Linked DNA regions of Callithrix jacchus. The protein of the gene in region 1 interacts with the protein of each later gene in a biochemical or structural test. Links are inferred from orthologs where the notes say so. Each region holds a gene or a part of one and is shown in the gene's direction. Other genes may lie near its edges. The genes, in order: FLT1 and PGF.

Region 1 (4,569 bases):
AGTGTTTTCAGCCCTAACCCAATGCCTGGCCCCTGTTGAATGCTGCAGAACAATGCTGACAGTTTCTCCTTGAAAGAGGGTGTAGGAGTGACAAGCAGCTCTCAGGTGAGACCAACAGACACTGTGGCTCTGCACGTATGTGCCAGGTTGTGTCCTGGGTTGGGAGACTGGTAGGGAGAATGATCAGCCGTCAGCTTCCAGCTGTTCTGCAGAATGATCCTGTGGGTTTTAGAGGACCCAGGTGTGCCAGAGGCAGAGAAAGGCGCCAAGGAGAGCGGTGCGGAGCACTGGAAAAATAGAGCTGGTGAAACCAGCAAGCAAGCAATGACTCCGGCAGTCTTCCTTGCCTCTGAACCAGAAGGGATCCAGGGACAGTTAGTGGCTCAGGTCCTGCGGCTCCAGGTGCCCAGACGTGCATTTCCTGTGTGGAGTGGCCGGGGCCTCTCCTTGGTGTGCAGCCCAGAAATGTGGCAACTTCGGGTTGCCCAACCTCCCCAGGCGGGGAGGTAGTCCAGTCCTTCAGGAAGAGTCGCCGGCTCTGTTCAGGAGCCATCACAGTCCCTGGTATTATGTCCCTCTGACGGGTTCTAATAGGACTATTTTTCAAGCCTGCGGTATTTACAGAGACAAGACTGGGCTGCTCCATGCAGCCCACGATTTCAGCCTTTGAGGTAATGGAAACATAATGGAGGAACAACGTGGAATTAATGTCATAGCAAATATCTAGTGCTTCAAGTTAATTTCAGCCGGTTGTGGTCAAAGAGTCACTCGTCTTGAGTAGCAAGCTGCCACCAGAAAGATTTCTTTTTCGAGCATTTAGGAAATAAAGTTCAAGTGCTCTGCCCTTCCAAGTTGCAGGAGCAGTTTCACGCCTCAGCTTTTTAAGGTATCATGATGTTATTCCTTGTTTTGCTTCTAGGAAGCAGAGGATTGAGGAAATGACTTGGGCGGATGCATCAATGCGGCCGAAAAAGACACGGACACGCTCCCCTGGGACCTGAACCAGTTCGCAGTCTTCCCAGAGGTGCCAGGCAAGCGTCAGGTCCCCTCAGGTGTTCCAGGTCCAGCGCCTTGCGCCGAGGGTCTCTGGCACCTTTCTAGACTTCTCGGGACAGTCTGATGGGGTCAGGGGCGGCAGGACAACGCGGGAAGAGCAGGCAAAGGGAGACAGCCGGACTGCGCCTCAGTCCTCGGTGCCAAGAACACCGTCGCGGAGGCGCGGCCAGCTTCCCTTGGATCGGACTTTCCTCCCCGAGGTCCGGGCGGCGGAGCTTCAGCCGTGTCCCTTCCCCAGTTTCTGGCGGCCCCCAGAGCTGAGTAAGCCGGGTGGAGGGAGTCTGCAAGGATTTCCTGAGCGCGATGGGCAGGAGGAGGGGCGAGGGGAAGAGGGCGCGGAGCAAGGACCCTGAACCTGCCGGGGCCGCGCTCCCGGGCCGGCGTCGCCAGCACCTCCCCACGCGCGCTCGGCCCCGGGCCACCCGCCCTCGTCGGCCCCCGCCCCTCTCCGTAGCCGCAGGCAAGAGAGCCTGGGAGAAAGAAGAGGGTAGGTGGGGAGGCGGATGAGGGGTGGGGGACCCCTTGACGTCACCAGAAGGAGGTGCCGGGGTAGGAAGTGGGCTGGGGAAATATAAATCGCCCCCGCCCTCCGCTACTCTTCATCGAGGTCCGCGGGAGGCTCGGAGCGCGCCAGGCGGACACTCCTCTCGGCTCCTCCCCGGCAGCGGCGGCGGCTAGAAGCGGGCTCCGGGGCTCGGGCACAGCAGCCAACGGGCGCCTGGCGGCGAGGATTACCCGGGGAAGTGGTTGTCTCCTGGCTGGAGCCGCGAGAGCGCGAGAAGACCGACTCGAGCGGCCGGGTAGTTGGCCGCGGGGAGCGCGGGCACCGGGCGAGCAGGCCGCGTCGCGCTCACCATGGTCAGCTGCTGGGACACCGGGGTCCTGCTGTGCGCGCTGCTCGGCTGTCTGCTTCTCACAGGTGAGGCGCGGCCGGGGACCGGGGCCGGAAGCGGGCTGCGATGGGGCGGCCAGAGGGCAGAGCCTCCGAGGCCGGGGCGGGGTGCACGCGGGGAGACCAGGCTGCAGCCCGAGAAGCCGACTACGGCAAGAACCTGGGACTCTAGTTGCAGCGGGCACGCCTGGGGCCTCTGCGCCGTTTCTCCGAGGGAGCGCCTCGGGGAGTGGCTGACCTGGACCCGCGAGCATCAGCGCTCAGACCGGGTCCTCGTGGGGCTGCCCGTTTGCGACAGAGTCGCTGATCCCTTATCTGGCTCTCGGGTGGGATCTCACTGCCGAGGGTCCGGGCAGTGGGAGCAGCACGCACCCGGACCTGCCTGGCACCCAGAGCCTGCTTCCAGGCGGCCTGGCGTGGATCCGCGGGGTCCCCCGGAGCCGGGAGCAGAGGCTCCTGAACGCCTGCCAGGCTGCCCGGGGCTGAGCTGAGGCCGGGGCGTTGGTGATACTGTGCACTGGCCGCGACCTCGCGCCACGAAAGGGAAGGAGGAGAGCTGATTTGAAGGGGACCGCCTGCCTGCGGGGAGCAGGAGGATCTCAGGAGAGGGCCAGCGCTGGCATCCCAGGACCCACTTGGGCCCCCGAGCCTGACTGTCCCGGGGAACGCTCGGCTAGCGCCGCTTCTCCCCGCCGCGCGCGGACCGCGGGGCCACACTGCGCTGTGCGCAGCCACCCGGGTGGGGCCTCTGCCTGGAGCAGCGGGGTGCACCGTCCAGCCTGGGTCGCCGACGTCAGTGACCCTGACGGACGAGGAGAGTCAAGGGTCCAAATACCGTTAAGTTACTGACTTGTAAGCCTAGCCTTTAAAATCCGAGCTAAGAGAGGGCGGGCGATTTGGACCAAACGACGCGGTTTGAGCAAATCGGTGGGGTCTGCCCGCCACCTAAGTCAGCCTTTGCCGGTTGTTTGGGAGATGGGCGGTGGAACCGTCAGGGGCCGGGGTTTTACCAGCAGTTAGACCGCCGCCATCGATGGGTCAAAGCCCCAAGGAATCTGAGGGTTCGGACTCGCAGTCTCTGCTCACTGGAGCTGAGTGGCAGAGCCTTGTGCCCCGTTCCCCTATGCGCAGAGACTCAGATTTCGGAATGCCTTTCTTTTAAGCACAGTGGAGAAAAGGTAAAATATGAAATAAAATACAGTCGTATAAAATAAATCATTACAATTATTCCCGGGGAAAAAAGTAAGATGAGCATACTAAAACAAAACAAAACAAAAAGCTTGTCAAACCCCAAAAGCAGCAATAATTAAATTCCTTCTCAGTGGGAAGACTAACTAGACCATCAGTTTCCAAGTAGCAAGTAATAATTCCAGTTAGATTGGTGAAACTACTAAACCCGGAGGCCGGGCAAAGTAGTGACTTCTGAGAACTAACTGTAGGTTGAGAAATTTGCTAACATAACTATCCTAAATAAAATGTATTTTCTATTTCACAAATACATTTTTTTGTTTTGAAAAGTAACTTGTATTAAAACATAATTGCTTGGAGAATGTAAATACTTCGCTCGACTATTATGTAAAGATAATTCTAGGTAAGTTACATGAATCCAAAAATATGGAGGGAAAAGTACATGGTTTATTAGATTTTCTGTTTCACACAGACATATCTTTATTTCATAAACGTGCTGACTTTAGTGAAACATTTTGTTTGTAATTGGGAGAATCTTAGATCGGTGGAAACTTGACAGAAACGTGAGTGAAATTCTCTTTTGATTTTTCTTAGCTTGTAATCTACTTAACGGGGGCAGCAGTTTTGGAATTGTGAATTTTTTTTTTTTTTAATTTGCACCTTTTTTGGGGAAGAAAGGACTAACATTGGCAAGGTGAGAACCTCTTTATCTGAAAGTTAACAGAGTGCTCTGTTAGCTCATGTTAGCTCAGTCTGCAGCATGGGTGCTTGTGAAAACCCATAGGTTTCTCTGTCTGGTTAACAAGCATCTCACAGTAAAACAATCAGCTACCACCTACTTTACAAATCCCATCAGGTCTTTCGTGCTGAAATGAGGGGCTGCGTCTCTGCCAAGCAATGTCTAGTAAGGAGCCACATTTCTGCGCTGCAGAGTTCTCTTGCATCATTATGAACTGGGGTCTGCTCTCCTTCAAGTGCTATGTAATCTTTGAATACTTATCAGCTATTAATATTGTGTGTGTGCATGCTCGGGGTGCACATGCATTGAGATGTAAAATAACCAGAGGCGCAGTAATACGAAAAGAGAGTGCTTTTCCCCTCTAAAGAGTTTATTTACCTCTTCCAGACCTTCCGGGAAATAAAAAGATAACAATAATTCAGATACTTTTAAGTCCTCTCTATTGCTCTTTTTCTATAAAGGATACCAGTCTTCTTTCTCCAGCTCTGAGTCTCATTTCTTACTTTTAAGGTATCATAAACTGGATGAAAGCTACAGACTTTTTTCTTTACCCTCATTTTTCTTTTGTTCTGGAACAGCTAGCATTTACCATTTACTATAACTAAGTGGAAATATTGAAATTGTGAATTTGTGAAGGAAGCCCACATTAATATGAAATCAAAGTGCACATGAAAATATACCTATTTCTAAATTG
Region 2 (3,800 bases), on another chromosome or scaffold:
GTCCCAGGACTGGAGCCTGATTCCCAGGCCAGTGCTCCTACTACCCCAGACCCCGAACCCCCGATGGCTCCGAGCCCACTCACCTCTACCCCCACCAGCTTTCTCAGCCTCACGCTGAGCCCTATCCCAAGACTTGGGGTGTCTAGTTAAAGCTGGAAACAAATCTGCCTAGATTAAAGTTCCCGTTTACACCAGGAGCGTTTGGTGCCTTTCCAAGCAAGCGCAATTAACATGTCACACACACAGTGGTTTTATTGAGCACTTACTGGGTAATGCCAAGCACTGTCCTAGGCATACCACAAGTGGTATGTCATTCAGTCCTTCAAGGCGGGCATCATTCCCATTTCACAGATGCGGAACTCAAGGTTCAGAGATGTTATTTCACTTGTTCAGCGGGCAAAGGAGTCAAGATCTAAACATGGGTCTCTCTGACTCCAGAACACAGGCCCCCTTCCTGTGCTATCGCTGTGCTAGTTTCTCCTGCATAGGGAGGGGCCTCCCTCAGATCCCCATGCAGGTGGGAGAGCTGTTTGCCCCATGCTCAGAGTGGAGTGAGGGCCGTAGTCCACAGGTTAGCAGGAAACAGTCAGGTTCTCCTTATAAAGAGAGAGAGAAGAGTGCCGGAAACTCCCCAGTCCAGGCGTCAACTCTTTCTTCCTTCAGCTCCTAAAGATCAGCTCTGGGGACCGGCCGTCTTACGTGGAGCTGGCGTTCTCTCAGCACGTGGGCTGCGAGTGCCGGTAGGTCTCGGGGTTGGGGCGGGTAGCAGGGAAAGGCTCCCATGCCCTTGGCAGCCTCAGCAAAGATGGGTCCCAGGGCAGAGGCAAAGGCCGCCTATCCCTACTGCAGGCTGCACTTTTTTCCAGGCTGAGGGAGACCAAGAGAGCAGGACCAGAGGTGGCTGCCAGTCATTTTGCACCCCCACCAGCCAATTTTGCCAAGGGAGGTGGTCCCAGCAGCTGGGGTACAGCTGCTGAGATACGGCAAGGGAAGAGAGAGTGTGGATCCCTCCCAGACTCACAGGGGTTCAGTGCATGTCATTCCCCTTCCCTGGGGATGACAGGCAGCTGCCACGGGCCTCTGGAAGAAGTGCCTGGAGGCAGAGACATTGCAAGTCTGGACTTAGTTCTGGGCTAAGCTGTGCTCGCACAGGAGGGGGCAAACTGGGCTGAGAAGCAGCAAGAAGGACAAGCTCGGGTAGAAAATGGGCGGATGAAGGGTGGCTGCGATTTCCTTGATGTCGCAGCATTCCCACTACACCCCCTCCCAGTCCACAGAGCTTCTGACTAGCACCAGTTTTGCTGCCTTATGCCCAGGGCACTTGGAACATTGGTTAGCAGGAACAACAGGCCTGGCACTGCCAACCAGGTTCAGGGAAGAGAGGAATGGGCTGAGCCACTGCTCCTGGCACCACTGGGCCATGGATGAAGGCACCAGACTAGAAGTCCAGAACCCTAGCCAGGGCGGGAGGAGGGAAGACCACCACGTACTGTTCTGTGCCTAGGCCCACAGGAGCCACTTGAATGTTTCTCATTTAGTCACATACTTTTATTGAGTACCTAGTGCATGCCAGGCACTGTCTTAGATGCTTGGGATGCAGGGGTGAGCAAGGTCCCTGCTCTCCTAACAACCCTAGGAGGTAGATGCTATTGTCATCTACCCATTTTATAGATGAGAAAATCAAGGCTCAATAGTTTCATGACTGACCACAGCTAGTGAGTGTGGGAGGAGGGATTCTGAGCCCTGACCTAGCTCCTAAGCCTTCGTTTTTCAGGTTACCTCTCATGGCCGAGACCACGCTCTCTAATAGCCCCCAGGCTTGGCTTGGCTCCTGGGCAGGGCTGAGCCCAGGGTCTAGCCTTTCTTCACCATGACAGTGTTGGGGGCCCTGCCTCAGCCTGTTTCCTCCCCCTCCTTCCAAGCCAGAGCTTAGCCATATAACAGTAGCTTGGTAATGAACCCTCTTGGGCACAATGCTGGGTAGTGACCCAAAGCTACCTTCTACATCCCCTTTGCTCTGACAGCCACTCTCTGGGGACAGGCAGATGAAGAGACTGAGGTTCCAAGAGTGTGGAACCTTACTTGCCCAATATGGAGAGGTATAACCACACAGTCCCCAGAGGCCCTGGTACCTTGCCCTGGCTCCCAAGGGAGGAAGCAGCCGAGGGCAGCATGCCCTGGTCCCAAAGCTGACTGGTACCAAGCTGCCTCGTGCCTCCACCCTCTGTTCCCCAGGGGGAGATTGTGGCCAGGCAACAGCCACAGCCCTGGGAGGCAGAGACCGGACATGCCTGGTGACTTCAGGGCTGATGCTCCCTCCCCACCTCCGACCCTGTGGCTCACTCCCCGTGTTGTTCTGGGCTGGGGTGGGTGTGGGGGGGACGGCGCTGTGCCCCGACAGGCAGCCAGTCCATTGCCTTGCCATCATCTCTAATCCTTGAGGAAATTCCCAGAATGCACCCTGGAAGAAAGGGGGAAAAGCGGAAAAAGTGAGAAAGGAAAAGCAGCAGAGAACAGATAGAAACGACCCCAGATTTGATGTCAAAAGGCTGAGGAGTGCAGAAGCGAGTGGCAGGGGTCCCCAGGAGGTTGATTTGTCCCTCTCATGACTGGAGTGGGAGCCAAGCCCGGAGGCTCTCGCCACCTCTCCCTTGCCAGCTCCATGCTACCCCCTAGTGGTGTCAGTGTCAGCTGCAGGACCAGGACTCAGGATGTTGGAGGGGACAGGTCTGGGAGGCAGGGAGCCCCACTTACTGCTTTCCTAACGATCCTCTGCCCCTCTGTCTGTCTGTTTCCCTAGGCCTCTGCGGGAGAAGATGAAGCCAGAAAGGTAAGTGGCTTAGCTGGGGCTCGGGGCTCTCTCGGGCCTGCCAGCCTCCGTCCTAGCATGGGGGCCCCCAGCCACCTTGTCCTGACGCTTTTGGCTTATTGCAGGAGGAGACCCAAGGGCAGGGGGAAGAGGAGGAGAGAGAAGCAGAGACCCAAAGACTGCCACCTGTGAGTGCGCGGGGTCCCAGGGATGGCAAGGAGGCTGGGCCCAAGGGGAGCCCCGCCCTGCTGCCAGGGTTAGGTCAGGGAGGGGGAGAGGCAGGACTGAGGCCAGTCTTGGGAGCAGAACAGGAGCCACGCCTTCTCAAGACTCTAGGGCCCCGGAAGCATCAGGACCTTGGTTTTTGTCCCGGCTTAGCCCTAGGTTTCCATTGACCTTGAATGAACCACTTCACCTTTCTCAGCCTAGCTTTTCTCTGTGTCAGATGAAGGGCAGGAGGTCTAGCAAACATTCAGTCACTCTACAAACATTTACCGAGCACTTACTGTGCGCCAAGTACCTCTGTGAGCAAACAGAGTTCCTGCACTTTAGTGTTTACCTTCTAGTGATGAAAAGTCTGTCATCAGCTGCGCTGTTATCTGGGGTCACTTCCTAGCAGCCCTGGGGAACATGTGCCCCTCGCCACTGGCTCCCAGGCCAATATTTTTGCCTTCGGGTCCTCCTGCTTCTTCTAACCTCCTTGGTACCTGATGGGCAGCAGACTAGAGCCCCAGGCCTGAGTGTGGCTGGGAGAGAAGGATTAGAGGAGGGAAAACCCAAATCTGTGAGTGTAAATAGAAAAAAGAAAGTATTTCACATGCACAGTAAAGCAGTCACACAGTGCCCTCCTTCAGGGGCTGCGTCTCCTCCTCGCACACGACTCCAGGAAGTCATTTTGTGCCGTGGAGGGGAGATGACGCAAGTCCTGACCCCATGAGCCCCACTCCATGGAGAATCCTGCGGAATGTGGCCCCCTAGGGTTTATGCCCAT

Evidence for each region.
Region 2: the proteins of FLT1 (region 1) and PGF are reported together in a solved structure, tested with the Homo sapiens proteins (2 studies listed by BioGRID and IntAct, with this or other methods). The link is inferred for Callithrix jacchus from reciprocal best matches to the Homo sapiens genes FLT1 and PGF.

What each region holds. Positions count from the first base shown.
Region 1 is NC_133506.1:147,658,661-147,663,229, reverse strand, and holds the start of FLT1 (vascular endothelial growth factor receptor 1), read left to right. Parts: upstream 1-1,657; 5' UTR 1,658-1,911; coding exon 1,912-1,975; intron 1,976-4,569. UniProt on the Homo sapiens protein: Tyrosine-protein kinase that acts as a cell-surface receptor for VEGFA, VEGFB and PGF, and plays an essential role in the development of embryonic vasculature, the regulation of angiogenesis, cell survival, cell migration, macrophage function, chemotaxis, and cancer cell invasion.
Region 2 is NC_133509.1:109,861,846-109,865,645, reverse strand, and holds part of PGF (placenta growth factor), read left to right. Parts: intron 1-663; coding exon 664-740; intron 741-2,800; coding exon 2,801-2,830; intron 2,831-2,934; coding exon 2,935-2,997; intron 2,998-3,800. UniProt on the Homo sapiens protein: Growth factor active in angiogenesis and endothelial cell growth, stimulating their proliferation and migration. It binds to the receptor FLT1/VEGFR-1. Isoform PlGF-2 binds NRP1/neuropilin-1 and NRP2/neuropilin-2 in a heparin-dependent manner.